2 linked regions of the Yarrowia lipolytica genome follow. The protein of the gene in region 1 purifies or fractionates together with the protein of each later gene. This does not show direct contact. Links are inferred from orthologs where the notes say so. Each region holds a gene or a part of one and is shown in the gene's direction. Other genes may lie near its edges.

Region 1 (11,809 bases):
CACCACCCGGGTCGGTCTTGTTCCACCAACACCTCATCTACGATACATAAAGTTCAAAACTAACCCTCATATCATATCGCCAGACGTGCTCCAGCAACTTACCCACCCTCTACTACCACCGCCCACACCCCACCATGAGCTTTGAATACAAAAACTCGGAGAAAGTCCTACGGGAACTCGTCGACATTGATGGCCACCTGACCCTCCAGGACCGAAAGGAGCTGGCCAGTGCCATTGGCCGGGCTGAAATGAACGCCCTGACGTTTGACTGGGGAGGAACCGTGGCCGCCTTCTCGGGGTTCATCTACCTCTACAAGTACAAGCCCCAGAAGTATCTCGGCACTCCCGGCAAAAAGATTGCCACCTACGGTACTCTGATCCTCGGAGGAATGCTCATCAGCGCCGGATCACACGTTTACTTTGCCTCCAACCTGGTGAAGCAGTTTGAAGGAAAAGAGTACCCCTACAAGGCCGCACAGCTCGTAGCCACCTCAAATCTGGCCCTGTGGTGGGCCTACTACAAGATGACCGCCGAGGAGCCCCAGAACTCGTTGTCCAACCCCAAGATGCTGCAAAACATGGAGGAGCGTCTCAACCTCAAGAAGGGCACCCTGACCTCTCTGCCCCCCACCCAGAACCAGATGGCGCTGCCCAAGACGGAACAGGACAAGCAGAACGACGAGTCCAAGGACGAGCGGCCGTGGAACAAGCTGGCCAGCGACTCTTTTGGCAACTCCAAGGACGACATCTGGGGAGAGGAGCCCGAGAAGGTCGAGGAGTCCGACACCCCTCTGACCAAGTCGTGGGACGATATCCGAAAGGATGCAGGCGTCAAGCAGGGCACCTGGAACAGACCCGCCGCTGCTCCCACTCCCAACAAGGACGCTGGTATTCCTCAGATTCCCATTTCCGAGAGACCCAACGCTTCTTCCGATAGCGATGGCCAGGGTCTTGGACTTGCCCAGGCTGAGTTTGACCGACAGCTCGATCTGGAGCGACAGGGATACAAGTCCACCGACGATTTCTCCGAGAGCGAGAAGAAGTGGAAGTAGTCCTTGGAACCAAACGACCATCGACATGTATATAATGAACTAGATCTGAAAAGAGAGAGAGAGAGAGAGAGAGAGAGAGAGAGAAGAGAGAGAAGAAAGCAGCCGGAGATGTAATCGTCCGTCGCTGGGTGTAAAATCATTGTTTTGCCATTGAGCTGACTTTAGTCACTCCACTCCCTTGTATCATTGATGTTCATATAATTAAATCATTACGTCTATAAATCATGTCTTATTTAGATGTGTGCCCGCTGCTGACGAACGACCACGGGCTTTCTAGAGGTTGTTGACATACTTCAAGTCCTCATTGTACTTGACATCCTCTTCGTCAAGTTTACCCTCAACCCTCTTGGCAGCCTTCTTGACCTGCTCAGTCTCCTCGGGGGTGAAAGGGAAACCCTTCTGGTTGAGCAGCACCAGCACGTGCAGAGATCGTTCCAGCGAGGGAATGTGGTCGTCGGTCTCGAGCTCCTTGACGAGGATATCGAACACCTGTCTCTTCTCCTCGGGCTTCATGAGGTCGGTCTCGGACTCCAGAATGCCTGTGAGAACTCCAAGGGTCTTGGACTTGACCTGGGCGGTCGCGTCGGGCTTGAGGTGGCCCACGACCTTCTTCAGACCGTCAGCAGACTCAAACAGCTTGTATGCGTCGTCGCAGTTTCGGATGGCAGACGCCAGAGCAAACAGCGACTTGACCACTACCTCGGGGTCGTCGTGGCTAGTCAGGTCGACCAGCTTCTTGATTCCGGCATCGCCTTGTTCAACAAGAGCCTCCTGCGATTTGGGGTTGTTCTGGGTCGCAGTAGCAACCACCCAGGCAGCCAGCTTCTGCAGAGAAGGGTGAGGAGAGCTCAATTGCGCCAGCAGAGGCTCCCACAGCTTTAGGTTCTTCATCATGTTGGCATTATCGAGGTTCTCCACCAGCATCTCAAAGTTGTCAAACGCCACCTCCTTGTCTTCCAGCTTGTTATCGGGCTGGGTGATGACCACCATGGCCTGCACCATGAGCTGGGCATCGTCGGGCGCCCCAAACAGCTGCGCCAGCAGCTTGGGGTCTGGTGGAGGCTCGTTGGTGCCCTCCTGTTGCTGCTTAACCGACCATGCTAGTAATTTGTCCATTTTTTGTCGTGTTGAGTATTTTCGTAACTTGTTGCGTTCCGGATCAAGATATTTTTCCTCTTCCTGCAGCTTTACTTATATCAGACATTGTCATAAAGTTAAAGGCACGAGGCGCCCCCAGAACCTTCCAGAAATGAATACAGGCCGGCGAGAAACAAATTCGTCATTAAATGAATAAAAAGGGAAGAAATACGATCAATTCACGTGAGAGAAATAGACATTTTTAGTCCACTGTGTAAAAAAAGACAAAAAAAAAACAGCAACCAAACTCAAGGTGATACCGTGTGCAATAGGTCCAACACAGTACTTTTACAGCACGCCTCGATCTTGTGCATCATCAAACATCAGGCATCAGATTACTGAGACGTCTGACATGTACCAATGTGTAAGGCAGAAGGCGTTAAACTAGTGCCCAATAGAGACAGTTATTGAAGTCTAGTGACCCGCTTCTCGACCAGATCTACTTTTAGCAAAATTGCAACATCTCTCGAGGTCGTTTGCTTAGTAAGAGTCTCATACACCGTTTCCAAGAAACACCATCACAATACCTATAGAACATCCGAAGGGTCCATTTTGAAGCTGAAGCCGTGGAGAGACTGGCTGTGGCATTTGATTTGTCAACAGGCCCTTGATACGGTCCCCAGACTTGCGCTGATCCTCCTTCCTCCTTGTCCCATCTCCATCCCCATCTTCGTTAATAAAAAATACAGTACTTACATGCCTATGCCTTGCTAGCTCGAGCTGGGCTCAAGACGTAATCCAGCAAGTAGTCCAGATTCAAACCCACCTCGCTCAATTGCGCAGCCTGCTGTCTAGTAATAGAGACACACTGTTGATACGTTTGAGTGTCGGGCTTCACTCCATACAGCTGTCGAGCAAACAGCAGCACAAATTCCTCCACCATGCTCTTGGCCCACTCGGCAATACTGGACGCCAAATGGTTGTCTGTGTAGCACTTTCGGAACACCTCGGCTGTGGATCGGATCAACCGGAAATACGTGACTGCCACCTGAGCAATATATCCAGGAATGTCGCCCAGCAACTCAACCTGACGAGTTCGCTTGTGAATGAGGTTTCTTCGAGTTTCCAGGTAGACTCCCCGGGCCTGGTCTCCGTGTCCTAAACGCACCAGCAGACCCAGAGCGTGTGTGACGGCAGTGTTGGATGTGTCTGTAGCCACATCATCAATGAGATGAGCCACCAACTCGTCCTGACGCTGATGCAGTTTGATGTCGAGCACCTGCTGTGTAATGTCGGTGCTCTCCTTGTCGTCCTTGATGTTTTCCAAAATGATGTCGGTGGCTTCGGCAAACCGCCTGTGTGCGATTTTCACGTCCAGATCGTTGACCAGGTCGTCAATCTCTCGCAGATTTTTCGTTCGGCCGGTGATGTCGACCGATGAAGACCTCGAGTGGCCCTTGGAGTTGCTGAGCCCCTGTAACAGCTCTTTGTGACCCCGAAGAGACGGGTTTCGAGCAGCATAGTACGTCATACTTTCTCTGAGCCGAATTTGCTGCTGGGTCTTGTTGGTGTCGTTCTTTCTGCCTTCGCCAGCCACCTTTTTGAAAGCCGAAACAACCTTGGCGTGCTGGGCGGGCTTTTCCGTCTGGTAGACGCAGGTGACTCCTCCGCAGACGACAGAAACTGCATTGGGGACCACGGGATGGGTTCCTCGGCGAGAAACGGAGAGATCCAGAAACTCAATGTCGCTGAGCGGCCAACACTGGTCCGCCACAAGAGTCTGGGTCTGCTGCATCTGCATGTTATCCTTTTTTCTGTTCTTGGCTGCAATCAGCAAATGGTCGTTCAGCAGAAACATGTGCACAGGTCGCAGGGGTTTCCAGGTGGCGGCGTTGAGCTGGTACCATGCGCCCGACTCGGCCACCACGTGTCTTCCAGGAATAGCAGGCAAGTACTTGACGGCTCCCTCTACATGTTTGAACAGCGACGCCAGTTCGTTGGCCCACATGTTTTCCAACATGACCATGGAGTTTCTGTTTCGGGCCGACGAGTCGGGCAGCGCCAGCGACGATTGCGACGATTCCTGCGACTTACTGGAGGTGGATTCCAGAGCGTCCTCCACCATGGCGGACACCGCAACGTTGAAGTTGCTGACGGCCTGGCCCAAGGACTTGACCTCGGAGTTGAGCGCCAGAATCTCTTTGTTTACGGTCAGAAACGAGTTGTAGTTTGTGTACATGGCCTCTCGCTGTTCGTCCACGAGCCTCGATTTGAGACTCTTGAGTTTCGACACGAACCGGTCGACCTCCTCAGCGTTGGAGGTGGCCAATTGCTGCGTGACAAACGTGTGCGCGTCCAGATCCTCCTTGAGCAGCATTCCTGAAGCGCCCGAGGCCACGGGGGCCGCCTTGGCCGGAGAAGTCATCGTTTTGCTTTTTGTCACCGGAACTCCTCCAGCAGCAACAGCGTCGTCAATCATGCTCCCAGCACCCACGGGCAAGCTCGGCGCCGCTGCCGCGTCATAGGGCACGCCCTGACCTGGGATACGGGCGCTGAACCGCCGCTTCACCATGTTTCCAACCCTTTCTCGGTCCTTATCGCCGACATTGGGCAGTTGGAGATGTGTGCTGTCTTGTATGTACGGCTTCTGCTTCTGGACCGCCGCGGCCATCACGTGCGGGTTGGCCGTCTGTCTGTGCGACCGTAGCGATTGGTTCGGAGGCTCCAGCGACATGGCGTGAGTCTTGTGTCGTGTACAAGTGCGGATGTTGGGTTGAGTGGAGGACGCAACTTGGACATGCGTGTTTAAGCACCTCGGAGTTATTAAACCTGGAGTGCTTAGTCAGACCCTAAGGGGTGGCTATGTGGATGACCTGAGTGTGGGAAAACAGACGGTTGGCGACGAGATCGAAATCTGCTGCAAAAAAAAAAGTGAAAACAAAAAAAAATAAAAAAAATCGTCACTCTCCACAAATAGCCCGCCCCTATGTCGTTTCATGTTTCACCGTGCACCCCGTTAAACCTTAGTTAAGAACGTTAGTTAGAGTTTTAAGTAATTGGAAGTTTTTGAAGAACGACCATTACCAGCCAGAAAGTTGATGTTGACGGTTGTGGGACATTTAGATGTCTTCTTTTCACCTGAAAAGGTTCCAAGCACCTTTTTCAACCTCTTCTAGTGACTGTAATGCCACGTATTACGACATGGTGTCACTCGACACCCTGAACTCTATACGCCGATGATCGTCGTGTATAACTCGGCCATTATTTACTTTGATGACGGCCACGAAGAGCTCAGTCGCTCCATTCCCGTCGACATAGATTTACCACAATTTTTAATTTGTCAATTCGTTTTTTTATCCATTTTACCCCGAATTTTCCCCAACCTCCTTCCCCATAAAACCCCAGCTGAAACAAGGTGAAACATGTCATTTGGATAGCTCGTGCTGTGATGGAGCTATGATCTTCGGACCAAGTTCAATCGATACCAAATGACGCAAATACTCAGTTTCTGGATCCGCAATCACCCAAAACACTCTCCATACCCAACTGAATGCTTCCTCGGAAAGACGAGTTGATCCGAGAGTATTTTCGCTACTTTGAAATAAGCTTCGCGCTCGTCTATTGTGATATTATGTGCAGAGTAATGGAAGGTGTCTTTGGCAGTGGAAGGAGAGGGTAAAATGGTAATGTTCGCATATCATTTTGTAACCATGGATCCAAGGAGCATTTGTAAACACTTTCCATGTCTTCCACTCTTCTACAGCGCATTTTACAAGTGTCGTCAAAATCCCCCCTCCCCCCCCAACCTCCCAACCTTAACGTTACAGTGCAACAAAACATCACCACTTTTAACATCACCACTTTGCCAGACCCCCCAAAACACCACTCATGTCAATCACATCGGACGAGCTAAACTACCTGGTGTGGCGGTATCTGCAGGAGGCGGGTTTCGAACATACAACATATGCGTTTCAGCGCGAGGCGGGCGTCCATCATTTGGACAAGCATTTCTCTAACCGCATTCCTCTGGGAGCGCTAGTCAATGTGGCACAGAAAGGAATCCAGTTCATGGAGGTGGAGGCCAGCGTCAAGGAGGATGGCACGATTGTGGACTCGGACGACAAGCCGTTTTCGCTGTTTGGGAACGACTACGTGCGCAGTGGGACGCCAGAGATTGAGGAGGAGCAGACTAACGCTTTGAAGGGCGCAGCCACGGCGTTGCTAGCTGCTCCGTCCGACATTACCGCAGGTGCAAATGTGGCCGTGACTAAAATCGATCCTGGATTGCCTACCACGGCTCCAACGTTAACAGCACCGGCAAACAACAACAACATAAAGAAGGTAGTGGCTGCTACCATGACAGACAGGGCAACCAATACACAAGATACACAGAATGCAACGTCGCAAAAAGACATGACGCGCGAGGAGGTGCCGATAATCTCGTTGACGCCGTCGGTGGATGTGGGTTCTGTGTCTCAATGCCAGTGGAGTCCGGTTGACAAGAATGTGTTATTAACGGGAGCGGCCGGACCAGTTGCTTCGTTACTGGTGCTCAACAAGGGAGGAGAAGAGGAGGAGGGAACGGCGGGGACTTTACTACCTACTCACGGCGACGAGATGGATGTGGATTCTGAGGATACCAACAGTACGAAAAAGATGGTCAAAATTGCGTCAACCACAAACCTCGCACATTCGCCGATTCCCCAAGGCGACAAGGATATTACTGCAGTGTCGTGGAACAGAATCGGAACGCTTTGTGTGACAGCTGCGTTTGATGGCCAACTACGATTATGGACTGCCCAAGGCAAGCTACGACACATTCTCAGTTTGCACAGAGCTCCGATTTTGTCTGTCAGATGGAATAAGACGGGCTCGTTGGTGCTGTCTATCGATTGCACAAACACGCTGGTTGTGTGGGATACCACTTCGGGCGAGGTGCGACATCATCTGAGCCTCACGGTGGCTCCTCCTCCTGCTTCGGCAGCTGTTTCGGCAGTGTCAGCGGTCGTGGGAGATATCCAAGCTGCTCTGGGGGGTAAGGACGAGAGCCACGAGTCTGCTGAGTCGATCACAACCGGGTTTGATGCTGACTGGATCGATGGATTGACATTCGTCATGACTGGAGAGAACCATTCGATTGTGGTTTGCAGGGTTGGTGAGAAGCTGCCTCTGCTAGTGTTCAAGGGCCACTCGGCAGGTATTAACGATATTCAGTTTGATCACGTGGGTTTACTTCTGGCATCGGCTTCAGATGACCACTCTGTGCGGTTATGGCAGGGTCGATCGGTCGCGTCTACAGCCACTCTTCTCGGACACACGGCCCCCGTCATGGTGGTACGATGGCTTCCGTTACTCAACGCGGCCAATCTTGTTGGAGGTGCCAACATTGGCACCATGAGTCTTGTGGTGAGTGCTTCTCTCGACGGAACGGCGCGTGTGTGGCTGCCTGAAAACGCTCGTTGCCTGGCGGTGTTGGCGCTGCATGAATCTGCTATTTTTGCCATGGAAATCTCGCCCGACCGCAAGTGGCTGGCGACAGGAGGCATGGATGGCGTGCTGGTCTTGTGGGACCTGGCAGGACTGGAGGACAATGAATGCACCGAGGAGGGCGCCGGAAGAGCTCTGGCGCGCCTGGAGATCGGGGCTCCCATTGATTGTATAGGCTGGAATCTCGAGAGTGACGTCATCTGTGTGGGAACCAGCGGCAAAAGTTATGTGGTGGAGTGGAACGAGGGCATGAGAGAAACCAAGGTGGTGGCATAGAAGGAGGGGATGGTAACGGGTTAATCAAGGGTCCCCGAAAACATAAGACACGGTATAATAATGTAAAATAGCTAACTGATGACAAGAATTGCACACAAGTGAATGTTTGAGACAGTCAAAAGTGGGGGGTTTAGTAATCAAAGTATACCAGAAATGGGATTGGTTACTAGCGGTGGTATTATTGTTCTTCAGCTGCATTTCTGTTGGGTTTTTTTCGGTTTATTGGCCAACTTTTCAAGATATCCGATTTTTTTAATTTCATTGAAAAACCTTAATTCCTCTCACAATATGGATACATATTGTACTGGTGCATTAATCTCAGTTTGAACACATTCTACAACATGAACCGGATACCTATTGAGATACAGAACGAGATTTTGAGACACTGTGATTTGTCAGCCGCTGTCAGCCTTCGAGACACGTGTATCACGTGGCGAGAACTGTGTTCTGAGTCGGTTCTGGCCAGCAAGGTGCAAAGTAGAGTGCCTTGGATGACTCCTGGAGAACATAATACGAGTCTGGACTCTTGGGCTCTTTGTGCAAAAGTTGTTTTGAGCCGTCGGAAAGCCATTGATGGCGGCAAGTATGACCATGTGGAGTTGCTGGACCGAATTCCAAACTTCAAGGCTGGCAAAGTTGAGTATTTGACAGCCGAGGAAGTGACGACTTTACCTCCAGGATACCAGTCTGTTTTCGATTCGGTTTATCTGCGGTCTGTTGCCGATGCAGAGCCGCAATTGTTGGCTCTTCGCGGCTCATCTTTGTACATCAATAACCGCCAAGCAATGTTGGATCTATATACACTGGATGTGAAGCCCACCAACGTGGATATAGCCAACGAGGGGGTTCTGGAGTTTGAAGAAACCGCCACCAATAACGTGTATGAGTGTCACGGATGCTCCATTGAGCTTCCTGAGGGGGCAGAAACTCTTCGTTTTTACTCTGGAAAGAAACAAATGGTGGTCTATTATGACATCGAATTGGAGGAGCGGGTATGTGTGATGGATAGGAAGCCCAGCATGAGCTACAAGGACGGGTTTGCGTTTGTGTTCAACGCGGAAACCATGAAGGTTCATGTTGCACGAGAGGCTGTGTTTTTGACCCAGGTTGAAGATCCCTATTTCTGCACCTATTGGCTTGATGTGGGAGCTCGAACCCGGGTTGTTGTGGCCAAGTCTGAGTTTGAGCAGCCCTACGACGAATGGACCTTGTGGTATGAAGATGTCTTCACCTACAATGGACTGTTATGGCACACTTTTGATGAGCATGTGGTTCCGTTGGTGGTGGACCTGGAACATCTGGACAAGACAGGATACAAGCCTCAGCATATTATCCAATGGTCGGATGGTGGAGAAACTCATCAGGGCAACGACGGCAGCGAAAGCTTCTTTGGAAGCAAAACCTCCACCACTCAAGCTACAGATATGGCTACTTACACAAATTATAGAGTCAAGGAGGACCGCAACTATGATATGGACGATGTCTTCTTTCCGGGGACAGTCGAGGGCCATTTTGGTTTCTGGAAATGGAGTGGAGACTATGCCGATCGAGTCATCAATGCAGCTATATCAAGTCTGAGAGAATGAATAAAACGATACAAGTTCCAGGCTACAGTCAGGGTGAACTTACACAGTGTGTAGACCCAGGGCTATAGAACGGGATGATTTTGTCTTGGGCGTGTCAGGGCGTCTTTCTGCCATCAAACACTGTGTCTTTGGAACAAAGTGGACTAAGAGAGTCATCTTAAAAAACTTTCAACGATACACGCTCCTGGATGGTATGATTCGCTGAGAGTCCCAGCTTTCACCTATGAAGCTCAGACAGTATCATGTTCTTACTTGTACCCAGGTGGAGAAACACGTCTGAGACGTACAATACTTGTACTGTATCTGAGACCTACTGAAGAATAATGGCTTAGTGAGAAGAATTTACTGCTCTGCCAAATATTCATGTGGTGTGCCCACATTTATAACCCCTTCCCCGACATCTGTCCACCCCGACGACCGAGGTAGAATTCTACTTGAAGTTGAGAGTGGGTGAGAATACCCAGGAGGTCTTTCTGAGCCCCTTGTCTGACTCCGCCACCAGCTGTCTTATGTGTTCCAAAGACAACCTGTGGTCTTTCCTGACTGACAACTGTACCGCCCCGCTCCTCGACTGGACACTGCCTGTACGCCCCACTCCTCGACAGGATACTACCCTGGCCGTCCTTTGGTCTCTTTCCTTTCATTCTGACGGGAGATATTACTTGACTATCCACTCCAGTCTCCATTCGAGAAAACTGAAGTCAGTTATGAAGCCGAGCATTTCAGCAGTGTCCATTGCTCCATTTTTGGGGAGCTACAAGTAATATTGGTGAGCCAAACTCATCTGTGCGCTCCAATGCGCCCTTCCTCTTCCCTAGTACGGGAAATTAGATGGACCGCATATTGTATACATGTGCATAATCAAGCACACTTGCACTTACAGTCAACCGCGTCTTGTACAGTATTCCTCATTGCTAATACGCAGGGTCCCATATCAGTGCATGCAAGATGCACGATAAGATGCACCTTCCAATGTCAAAAAAACATCTCTACATTATCTAGATTGGAACACAAACGCCTCCACCTGAAATTATAAAGTCATGATATGAGAACACACGCCAGTACATGCACTTTATTGACCTACTCCTACACATCGGTCTCTGTGCACACATGACGCGACTTATCACCAAACAGCTGCTGGAGCTGGAGGACCAAAAACACAAATGCCGCCAGGCCATGGTGATAATGGAGCAGCTGTTGCATGACTACCAGCTGGAGCTCAACTCTCTCCACGTGAGATCTACGGCTCTGAGAGCCAGCCTGTCCAGCACAAGAGAGAAACATCACTACTTGGCCCTCCAGACTGCTACCCGCGAGATGGCACCTCCCTACGAACAAGAGCAGCTGTCAATTGAGTTCGCAGACAAGACAGCATATGATATGTCACTCCCACATGACAATACAGCTTGTGATGGAACCCCTGCCGAGGTTGTGTCCCCCGCCCGCTCCGTCGAAAGTCTGGACACAAACAGCACCTCCCCTCCCGTCAACCCGCCAGGAACACACGTGCTGGTGTGTGGCAGAAGCGCAGCCAAACTCCGGCTCTACGGCATTGGAAAGAGAGATACAAAGATTGGTCCGATACCCATCAGGAGTGGTAACGGCGTCTCCTACCGCCTGGGGTTTCCGCCTGGTATGTTCCTTGACGTGGACTACTTTCCAGCTGGGGACCTGGAGGTGACCGACCAGAAGCTCACCGTGATATCCGGCTGTCCTCCTCTTGAAGGTCGAGTGCTCGACGAGATTGATCGTATCGACGCTGCCTTTCTGGTTCACGGAGGAGTCTACCTGTTGTTCAAAAACTGCAGCTGGGGCACCACCTACACCAAGGAAGTCCTCGACTTTCTCCCCTCGGGGATGGAGGTTGTTGATTTGAGAAATTGACTGAAACTATCGGTTCTACTACTTGGAGCAGTACAAGTGCTTGTACTCGTAGCAAATACATACGTGATTACCTATCTATTGATTAGACAAGAACGCCAGCCTGGGCGAGAGCCTTAGAGTCCTTGAGCTTGTGGAGTCGCGAAATGACCTCGTCCAGAGGAATGGAAGCGGCCTTGGCCTGCTTGCTCTGGTCGTCTCGGTCTCGGATGTTGACCGACTTGGCGGTCTTCTCCTCCTCTCCGACAATGAAGGTGAAGTTGTACTGCTTGAGCTGGGCCTCTCGGACCTTCTTCTGCAGGGTGTTGGGGCCGTTGTCGACGTCGGCAAAGAAACCGGCATCAACGAGCTCGTCACGCACCTCCTGGGCGTAGTCGTTGTACTTGGGGCCAACAGGGATGACAAGCACCTGTCGGGGCGACAGCCAGAAGGGCCACTTGCCGGCAAAAT
Region 2 (9,883 bases), on another chromosome or scaffold:
GGACGGACCTAACGAGCTCACGTACAAGGGACATCTTGATCCTGTGATTCAGCGACCTCACAGTGTAACCATGGCTGCCCTGGCTCTCTGGGCGTTTGTGTTTGTCAACTCTGGATGTGAGGATCATGCCATGGCGTTGTACAAAGATCCCAATGTTCGGCTGACGGCCGAGAAGGGCAAGATCACCGAGTGGGGCTCAGAGATGCTCACGCGCAGCGAGGAGCGGCCCATCAACAGCTATGTGCCCAAGGAGGATGGCTACGAGTATTTGAAGCGGCTGTCGGGTCTGTCTCCTGTTGAGATCCGAACAGCCCCGAACCTGCAGAACATCATTGGTCTGTTGCAGGTGATTTGGAAGGCTATTGAAAAGGTGCAATGGGAGATTCTGCAGGAGCTGAGTCGGCTGCTTCAGCATTGTATGGAGCGAAGCCGGGGCAAGCAGCAGCAAAAGTGCGACTTTATGGTCGTTTGGAGATCCAGATAGGATAGTAATGTATAATAATAGACGATGTGGGCACCAGCGCGAGATATAGAATCGAAGCAAAAGGCTTATGGTGAAGGAGTACTTATCCACTGGAAAGTACATACAGTAGTACATTGATTGATCTACTGACGTTGTATAGATATATGCTGTTAACTGAGGGCATTTCTGTGTATACATACATACTGCAGTCCTACAGTATTGGAGCAGAGGTCTACCTCTTCCCCCTACCCCCTTCAGTTATTTGTACATATTCTATCATGGATCTGTTTCTCTATTATTTATGTTCTCCGGACGCCCATCTATGTCCTTCTCATTCAACGTCGAAATCGATCTCCGCGGAGTCTCCTGCGGCGTAGTCAAACAGGTCCTGGAGAGGCTCGAGTCTGGATTCGTTGGCAGCTCTCTGGTTGGCAATGTGGCGTTTGAGCGATGCAGAGATGAGGGTCTTTGCTCTCTGAAGCTGTTCGTTCATGTTGTGGAGCTCGCTATTGAGCTTCTGCATCCGTTGGAGCTCGTTAGTCAGTTCCTCCACCTCCTGCTCACGCATCTTGAGCTCGTTGAACAAGGTGATGACACCTGCTCGGAAGGCGAGGTCTTCGGCCGCGTCACAAATGACAGCCGAGACGGGACGGAGACGCGGATTGTCCTCGCAGGCCTCCTTGAGAGCCAGAAAGGGGTCCTGCTTGGTGGGAGGCGTGTTGGTGATCATTTGTGGGCTAGCTAGATAAGTGTTTAGTTGAGACAAAGAAGAAGCTATTTGTTTTGTTGTCATAAATATAGAGTTACTGGGACAACTATTTGACATACTCAGAGGTGCAGTACTGTAGATAACGCGAGAGAGAGAGAACCCGACAGACAGATGAGATGACGCGTATTGTACTTGTAAAACACAACCAATGAGCTATACAATAGTCTTGAGAACGACCCAGATTCACTTGGATGTAATTCTTAGATTTCCCACTCAACAGTGTTCGTCTTCCTTACCATTATCTTCTGTGAACAAAACCATCCTGTATGAACAGTTACAGTAAAACGAGTACACACACAAATCCACCCCTATGTTCCTTCCACTGTCCATTTTCATATCAATATATTTATTCCTTCTCTAATTGGCCTCAATGAGGGATGTTAATAGAATCATCATGCTAAAACCATCACCACGCCATCTTCTCAGTGTACCATATTCTCATCTCTTCGGTATTAATCCTGCTCGGCGATAGCCACCAGCCGCTCGTCAATCTCCTCCACAGTCAACTTTCTAAATCCGTCCTTTGTAGCCACACCAATCTCAATGTCATTCTTCTTGAAGTCCACAGACAGAGCAGTGGAAAGAGCGGAAATGGCGGTTTCGGTTACCTCGTTGACATCTCCAGCAGCATACTCCTTCTTCTTGAGCTTCTTTTCCAGGAAGTTGTTAGCCTCCTGCTGCTTGGGACCCGATGCAGTGGCCTTGTATCCCACGTAGTAGCCGGCAGGGTCGCACTTGTACAGCTCAGGTCCCCGCTCGTCGTCAATGGCAATCAGCGTCATGATCACGCCCAGCGGTCGCATGTATGCTCTCTGAGTGTACACCTGGTTGATGTTGGCCATTCGCTTGGCCAGCATATCGCAGGGCATGTCGTATCCGTACTTATATCGGAACTCTGCGGCCTCTCCTCGGGCTCGTTGGACAGCTGCACGAGCGTCGGGAATCTGGCCAGTCAGCACTGCTCCGATGCTAGGAGAGATTCGGAAAATGTACGACACGGTGGAAGGGTCCAACAGCTTGTCGGAGATTTTCTTTTGCGAAACGACAACCGCGCAGTCCTTGCCTCGGATGCCCAGCGACGTGATGTTGGCAGAGTTGCATGCTTTGAAGGCGTACTCGACCTGGTACAGTCGGCCCTCAGGCGAAAAGATGGTAATGTGGCGATCGAATCCAGCAGAGCCTGTGTTAGCGATATCCGAATAGTCGGCGGCGCAATCGAGTCGCGTGATCCGTCTTGTCCCCATTGGCGACCGATCCATCGCTCAATACTTACCTGACATTTTCCTGTTGTGTGGTTCTGGGTGGCAATGAAGAGTACTGTAACCACCGTGAGCATGATGTATGTGGCGATGCGGGAGAGTAGGGTTAGGGTTAGGAGGGAACCACCCTGAGAGCGATAGTTGGGGTTTAGTTGGGAGTTCAGTTGAATGTGGAGGAGAGGTGAGTTGGTGGTGTTTGGAGGGTTACGGAGCTCAAAAAAAGTCGATTGGGGAGGTCTGAGTGGATGATACTATTATTCATATAGACTGAGACTCCTGTGAGGGTATTTGGTGCCTTACTTTGAGTGTTATGTTGAGCTGACCTCGGTTAAACAGGTAAACTAATCTCAAACTTGAGGTTCTGAAAACGGAAATTTATAAGGGACGTTTCCATCGTGTTGGAGGTGTTTGATCAAGCTAGTGATTTTTCCAGTCGTTCAAATGTAGCTTTAATAATGGTTTTCCGGAATTTTTATATTTCTGACGTCTCTATACCCTCCGTTATATTGACTCTTTTGAGACTACTGTATGTACAGTATGTACTTGTAGATGTTAGCTGTGTATAGTGGTAAGGAGGTAGAGACATGGCAGTGGGTATTGGGTCAGGTGCTACATGATGAGAGAAAATTACTTGCTCAATAAAGTAAGCCATGGTCAGATAATGGCCAACATTAGAGAAAAAGATATGCTCACAAGCCATTTTTCCCGACTTTTCGCCACCTTTTCTATCTGTCCTAGAATTTCACCCTACCAATAAAGTTTCTTATATGCACAATTAATTCACCTCCATCACCCATCTCCAGTGCACTAAACAATATACGACAGAAAAAAAAAAGCACATAATACGGGATTTATCGGCAGAGACGCGGCACAAGTGACACCAAAATCAACGCGACACCGTCACAAACACAACACATAGCATCACATCACATTCCACTTCTCTACAGTCATGTCAGAACCAACCATCGTGTTTGACTCCAAGACGGTGGAAAACACGCCTCTCTACGAGTCGTTTCTGACGACACAAAAACGCCGCGTGTCGTACCATTTCAACGAGGAGGCTGCGCGATACCATTATGGAGTCCGTCACCCCATGAAACCGTTTCGACTCATGCTGACAGACCATCTGGTGCTGGGATACAAGCTACACAACAAACTGGACTTGTACAGATCCCGAAGAGCCACAGAAACAGAGGTGCGGGAGTTCCACGCCGAAGAGTACATTGATTTCTTGCAACGTGTCACTCCGGATAACATCAAAAAGTTCCAGCGAGTTTTACCCAAGTTTAACATTGGAGACGATTGTCCCATTTTCGACGGCATGTACGACTACTCGATCATTTACGCAGGTAGCAGTTTGGACGCGAGTCGAAAGCTTCTTGCTGGCCAGTCAGATATCGCCATCAACTGGTCTGGAGGTCTGCATCATGCGAAAAAGTTTGAAGCCAGTGGATTCTGTTATGTGAACGACATTGTGTTGGCGATTCTGAACCTTCTCAGAATGTATCCACGTGTTCTTTACATTGATATCGACATTCACCACGGAGACGGAGTGCAGGAGGCGTTCTATTCGACCGACCGAGTCATGACTCTGTCGTTCCACAAGTATAACGGAGAGTTCTTCCCTGGTACGGGAAACTTTGACGAGATTGGAACTAGTCTGGGCAAGAACTACTCACTCAACGTGCCGCTACGAGACGGAATCGACGACGAGTCGTACGTGCGGCTGTTCAAGAGTGTTTTAGAGCCTGTTCTCAACAGTTACAGACCCTCGGCTATTGTGCTTCAATGTGGAGCTGATTCGCTTGGTGGAGATCGTTTGGGATGTTTCAATCTCAACATCAAGGCCCATGGAGAGTGCGTTGCATATACAAAGTCGTTTGGCCTGCCTCTGATTGTGCTTGGAGGAGGAGGATACACCCCTCGCAACGTGTCTCGATTGTGGTGTTATGAGACCAGTGTGTGTCTGGACGTTGATCTGGAGACTCGGTTGCCTTCTTCCATGCCTTTTCTCAAGTATTTTGCTCCAGATTACTCGTTGCATCCCAACCTGGCTGGTAAGATCGACAACAAGAACTCCCGCAAGTTTCTGGATTCTGTGCATGTGCAGGTGATGGAACAGCTGAGAACTTTGCAGGGAGCCCCCAGTGTTCAGATGGCTGAAATTCCGCCGGACCTGGCCGGTCTGACTGAGGAGGGAGAAAAGCAGCGACGAGATGAGCTTGACGAGGCGATGAAGGATGCGAGGTAGTCGGGCATGGAGCACATTATATTTATTGTAAATAGGCAGGGAGTCGAAAGGCTCGTAATCAACTAATGATGATATTGGGGGCACAGAAACGACTTCAAGTACCACTATCGATAGTTGACGCATTTACTTGAGACGGACGACGGATACTCGTACAAAACTGGACATTGTTCAACACACCAGATATGATCGTTTGTCTCCTTAGAGGTATGCTTACGCGCTACACTTAGACTTGCAGGGTTATGCTTATTGGAGGCTCAAAAATGGGCTGATGAAAAGTATTGCAACTGTATCTGGATGTATGTTGCATTATCGACCGTGGCATTTGCCAGAATGGGAGTGAGACGGGAGCACGGGCTTTTTCGGACGTGTGACGGCGTGCGTTGTTTCAGATTTATTTGATAAGATCGGCGTGAGAATTTTGCGCTGCTGAGTATGGTGGTATTCGGCCGGCTCGTGGATTAGGAGAGGGCCACCAGGTGCTAGTGTGTTGGATAGTGGTCTGTTTTCTATGTACATACAGTTCAATTGAGTGATTTCTTTTTCAGTCTTGTTGAGCTGCTACTTTACTCGTATCGTACTTGTAGCATCACCAGTCGTTTTGGATGAGCGATTAAGTTGATCTGATAACTGCGAGCTGTGCTTGAGTTGCCTGAATGGACAAGATTTCCAAGTGCATTAATTGGTTTGTGGACGAATGGCAATCTTGATAATCGCCCTGCGAGGAGACTTGATTCGCAGAGACGGCGACAGTGAGACATCTCAGACATGACTCTTTGCTTTCTGACGGTGACGGTGGCTCCAGTAGCTACTTGTAGCTAGTTACGGTATCGATCTAGACTCAATTGGCTCACTGACACAAGTATGGCAGTCCACCACATTCCGGCCCATTAATACGACATAAACGCCTGCCTACAAACACTCTGGACCACCTTTCAATTAGTCACCCATCTTCTCAGCCGCTTGTCATTTTCCGATGACGCACTTTTGGCATCGTTTGGCCGCACGCACTGTACGTACAGTACAGTAAATTACAGTATAACCGAGTCTGGAGGTGTGAAGATCTCGGCTTTGGCGGGTTGGAGATGGGTATGAAAAATGGTTGATCCATCGATAGCCGCAGATTGCACCAGTATCTGTATAAAAATACCTCTGAAAACGGTTCTTTTGCAGACGTTAGTTGGTCCAGTGATGCTCCAGTCCATCTTCGGGTCTAGACCGCCGACCTCGGTAAACGCTAGAGTTTCTGCCACTGTGGCTAGGGTTACCTTGAGGTGGCGCGGAAGCACGGAACTGTTCGGAGCGGCGAAGTTTATGAGGGAGATTTGTGAGAAATGGGGGTGACGATATCTCTGGTATCAGCTCGAAAGTAGCGGTTGATGGGTTGGAAAGAGGGTGAATATACGGGCAGAATTCGCACGAGTCCATTGCAACATTTTGCGTCGTCTCATTGCATCCGTCATCGTCACGGCATGCAATAAAAACATGGAATCAGGGGCACGCAGGGAAAAAAAAAAAAAAAAAAAAAAACCAAACAAACACTGAAAAACACTGAAAAACACTGAAAAGTGTGAAAACTGGGAGAAAAAAATACACTGAAGAGCTGCAAAGAGCTGCAAACAACTGCACAAATGCTACAAGTAGTGGATGGAGCGTTGAAGAGAATCTGTTGCCATGTACAATGACGACCGGGGCCCCTTATCCGGTCATCCCTCGTGGAACATTGCTAAACAGCAATATACCTTGGGCCTGATTGTCACACCTTTCTCGGGTTTGGCTTACGTTACTGGCAACTGGCTCTCATCCAGGTCCTCATCACATGCTTGTGGGGTTAGAGTTGTGGGGAGGGCGGTTGAGTAGCAGAGTTTGGAGGTGGAACGTGGCCAATGAGAAAGCTTACAATGTGAGTAATAATAGGGAATAAGCAGCAGCATCGGCAACAGCGTAGATGTGAGCTATCTGTAAGCCGTGCCAGGCTAGAGGTGCTACAAGTAGTGGGAGGTAGTCTGGTGTTTCTCGAGATACTGTCGTTCAAGTATCTGTTACAATGGCTCTCTCTATCTCGTCACGTGAACACCATATATACATGCCCTCTCGTGGTCCAGCAGCGATGACACTACCCGGTCGTCTGTTCGTTTGCGCGGTTGCCACGAGGAAGGGCCAAATAACCTCAATTACTAACAATGCACGTCATTGGTGACTTTTTTAGTTGGGACAATGATGGTGACGGAGCAGAGTGTGGAAATCACAAAAATAAGGTTTCGCAGCAGCACAGAAAAAGGGCCCAAATTTTACCTCACCCTCCTTCTCATCACCCAACCCAAACGTCCCAGACGACCCCAGACCAGTCTCGACAACCATGGAATCTCTCGTTCGACAGTCCAAAAAGCTCTGCCCCTACATTGGTCGAACCTCGGCTTCCAGCCTCAAGCAGCTCGGAAACGGGCGACTGACCCAGAAGGCAGGCCAATGCCCCATCATGGGCAAGGCCATGGGAGTGCGTGGCTTCAAGTCCGACGCCGGATCCAACGCCGAGTCCGCCACCGTTGACGTCCATGCCGCCGTGGACACCTCCAAGGGCACCTGCCCCCACGCGGCCCAGTACTCGCCCGTCTACCCTTCGTCTCGGCTCGACAACTACCCGTTCGGAATGACCCAGCGAGGCCTCGGAAAGGTGCCCACCCAGGACGCCCACAATGCCACCACCTTCAACTACGAGTCCTTCTACGAGAACAAAATCAACGCCAAGCACCAGGACAAGTCATACCGGTACTTCAACAACATCAACCGACTGGCCGCCGAGTTCCCCCGAGCCCACAGAGGCTCCATTGAGGAGGACAAGGTGACCGTCTGGTGCGCAAACGACTACCTCGGCATGGGCCGAAACCCCGTCGTCGTCGACGCCATGCACGAGACTCTGGACAAGTACGGAGCCGGCGCTGGTGGAACCCGGAACATTGCTGGCCACAACCGACATGCCGTCGAGCTCGAGGCCGCTATCGCCGACCTCCACAAGAAGGAGGCTGCTCTGGTCTTCTCCTCGTGCTACGTCGCCAACGACTCCACCCTGTCGTTGCTCGGCCAGGCTCTCCCCAACTGCGTCTACTTCTCCGACGCTTCTAACCACGCCTCCATGATCCACGGAATCCGACACGGAGGGTCCGAGAAGGTTGTGTGGAAGCACAACGACCTCGCTGATCTGGAAGCCAAGCTCGCTCGATACCCCAAGAGCACTCCCAAGGTGATTGCATTTGAGTCCGTCTACTCCATGTGTGGTTCCATTGGCCCTATTGAGGAGATTTGTGACCTGGCCGACAAGTACGGCGCCATCACGTTCCTCGACGAGGTCCACGCCGTTGGTATGTACGGCCCCACCGGTGCCGGTGTTGCCGAGCACCTCGACTTTGAGCACTACCACTCTGGTGCTCAGACCCAGCGACAGCCCATCATGGACCGAGTGGATATCTTCACCGGAACCCTCGGAAAGGCTTACGGATGTGTTGGTGGCTACATTGCTGGCTCTGCCAAGTTTGTTGACATGGTTCGATCTTATGCTCCCGGTTTCATCTTCACCACCACTCTTCCCCCTGCCACCATGGCCGGTGCTCGAGCTGCTATCAACTACCAGAAGGCTACCATGAAGGACCGAGTTGCCCAGCAGACTCACACTCGATACGTCAAGGACAAGCTGGCCAACCGAGGAATTCCCGTTGTTCCTAACCCCTCTCACATCGTGCCTGTTCTTGTTGGTGACGCCCAGAAGGCAAAGGCCGCCTCCGATCTTCTGCTGACCAAGCACCAGATCTATGTGCAGGCTATCAACTTCCCCACTGTTCCTATTGGCCAGGAGCGACTGCGTGTGACCCCCACCCCCGGTCACCATGAGGGACTCTGTGACGAGCTGGTTGCTGCCCTGGAAGACGTGTGGCAGGAGCTTGATCTTAAGCGAGTTGAGGACTGGACTGCCGAGGGCGGTCTGTGTGGCGTTGGCGAGGGTGTTGAGGTTGAGCCTCTGTGGAGCGAGGAGCAGCTGTCTTACGGACGAGACTAAGTCTGTGCTCGCTTCATGAACAATGAGAGTGTGTGCTTTGACTAGTTTCGCACTCTCACTTTACTTCACACACCCAAAGTGCACTTCAAATTAGTGCGGTGCACTCGAACTCCCCACAAAATCAACTCTTCAAAAACAAAACATGTAATTGTAAAGCATTTGGCTGGACGCCAGTGGTTTAGAACCAAACGAGCGTAGATGGTGGAGCGACGAACTTGTAGGGCATGCTGCGACGTGAGTCGTTCCTGACACGTGAGCCGTTCCTGAGTGAGTCGTCCCTGAGTCGTGCGTGTGTGAAGCTTTTTGAATATCCGGCATCAGCCTGAACTCAGTGAGTCGAAAAAGACGGCAAAAAGACAGCGGGGGCTTGACAGCGTGAGTAAAGTACCAGTACAGTAGGATGTGGCTGGTGAATGATGCACTCGTGCTATACAGGTATGAGTACAGCTGTGTGTGTTCACTGGTGCTTTCCAAGTGAGTCTTCTTCTGGACTCGTCCACCGAGTTTCACCTGATCGTGTCGCGATGGAGTATGAGTCGCGATGTGTATGAGTCGCGATGTGTATGAGTCGCGATGTGTATGAGTCGCGTTGAGTAGTCTGGAACTAATATCTGAAACTGGTTTGGGACATGTCTTGGAAGTTTGGCTGGGTGGAGGATGGCTGAGTGTATTGAGAGTGGCTGAGACGTCGTGTTCGTAGTGAGATTGAGATGGCATGGTGTCTTCTTCACCAACGGCGTATTCGTTCCGATACCCTGGTTGGGGCCTGCTGAGTTGGTAGTAACTCTTGGCAAGTGTTATTATTGTGTAACAGTTGGACAATCATTACTGAGTGGCACTTTTGTAATCCCAGAGCAATAGTAGCGGGTCGCGGGGTCGTTGAGCGTCTCTCTGTTCATCCTTTGGGTATCGCTGGCTATCACTTTGAATGAGATTGGTATCAGTGGTGCTCATACTTGACCTGACAAACGAATATTCTTTGGCAAATCGATTAGTACCATAATTGGCACGCCCAAGTGTTCAGGAGTGTATCTCTCTTGTCCTTGTGTCTGGGGTTCACTTATCGTCGCTTCTCTTCTGAGCTCGCGTCGTG

The links. Proteins that work in one complex are often made in the same cells at the same time.
Region 2: the proteins of YALI1_F14805g (region 1) and YALI1_C07780g purify together in Saccharomyces cerevisiae (affinity purification with mass spectrometry; 4 studies listed by BioGRID). This does not show direct contact. The link is inferred for Yarrowia lipolytica from reciprocal best matches to the Saccharomyces cerevisiae genes SIF2 and HOS2.

The regions. Positions count from the first base shown.
Region 1 is NC_090775.1:1,474,489-1,486,297, forward strand, and holds YALI1_F14805g (uncharacterized protein), read left to right. Parts: upstream 1-6,017; coding exon 6,018-7,892; downstream 7,893-11,809. Other genes in the region: YALI1_F14746g (uncharacterized protein), read left to right, coding at 135-1,052; YALI1_F14766g (uncharacterized protein), read right to left, coding at 1,326-2,168; YALI1_F14793g (uncharacterized protein), read right to left, coding at 2,890-4,863; YALI1_F14827g (uncharacterized protein), read left to right, coding at 8,234-9,478; YALI1_F14850g (uncharacterized protein), read left to right, coding at 10,544-11,362; YALI1_F14882g (uncharacterized protein), read right to left, coding at 11,445-11,809. UniProt on the Saccharomyces cerevisiae protein: Antagonizes telomeric silencing in yeast. May recruit SIR4 to non-telomeric sites or repression.
Region 2 is NC_090772.1:774,582-784,464, forward strand, and holds YALI1_C07780g (uncharacterized protein), read left to right. Parts: upstream 1-3,440; coding exon 3,441-4,742; downstream 4,743-9,883. Other genes in the region: YALI1_C07721g (uncharacterized protein), read left to right, coding at 1-484; YALI1_C07758g (uncharacterized protein), read right to left, coding at 795-1,289; YALI1_C07770g (uncharacterized protein), read right to left, coding at 1,685-2,491; YALI1_C07816g (uncharacterized protein), read left to right, coding at 7,099-8,790; YALI1_C07840g (uncharacterized protein), read right to left, coding at 8,920-9,507.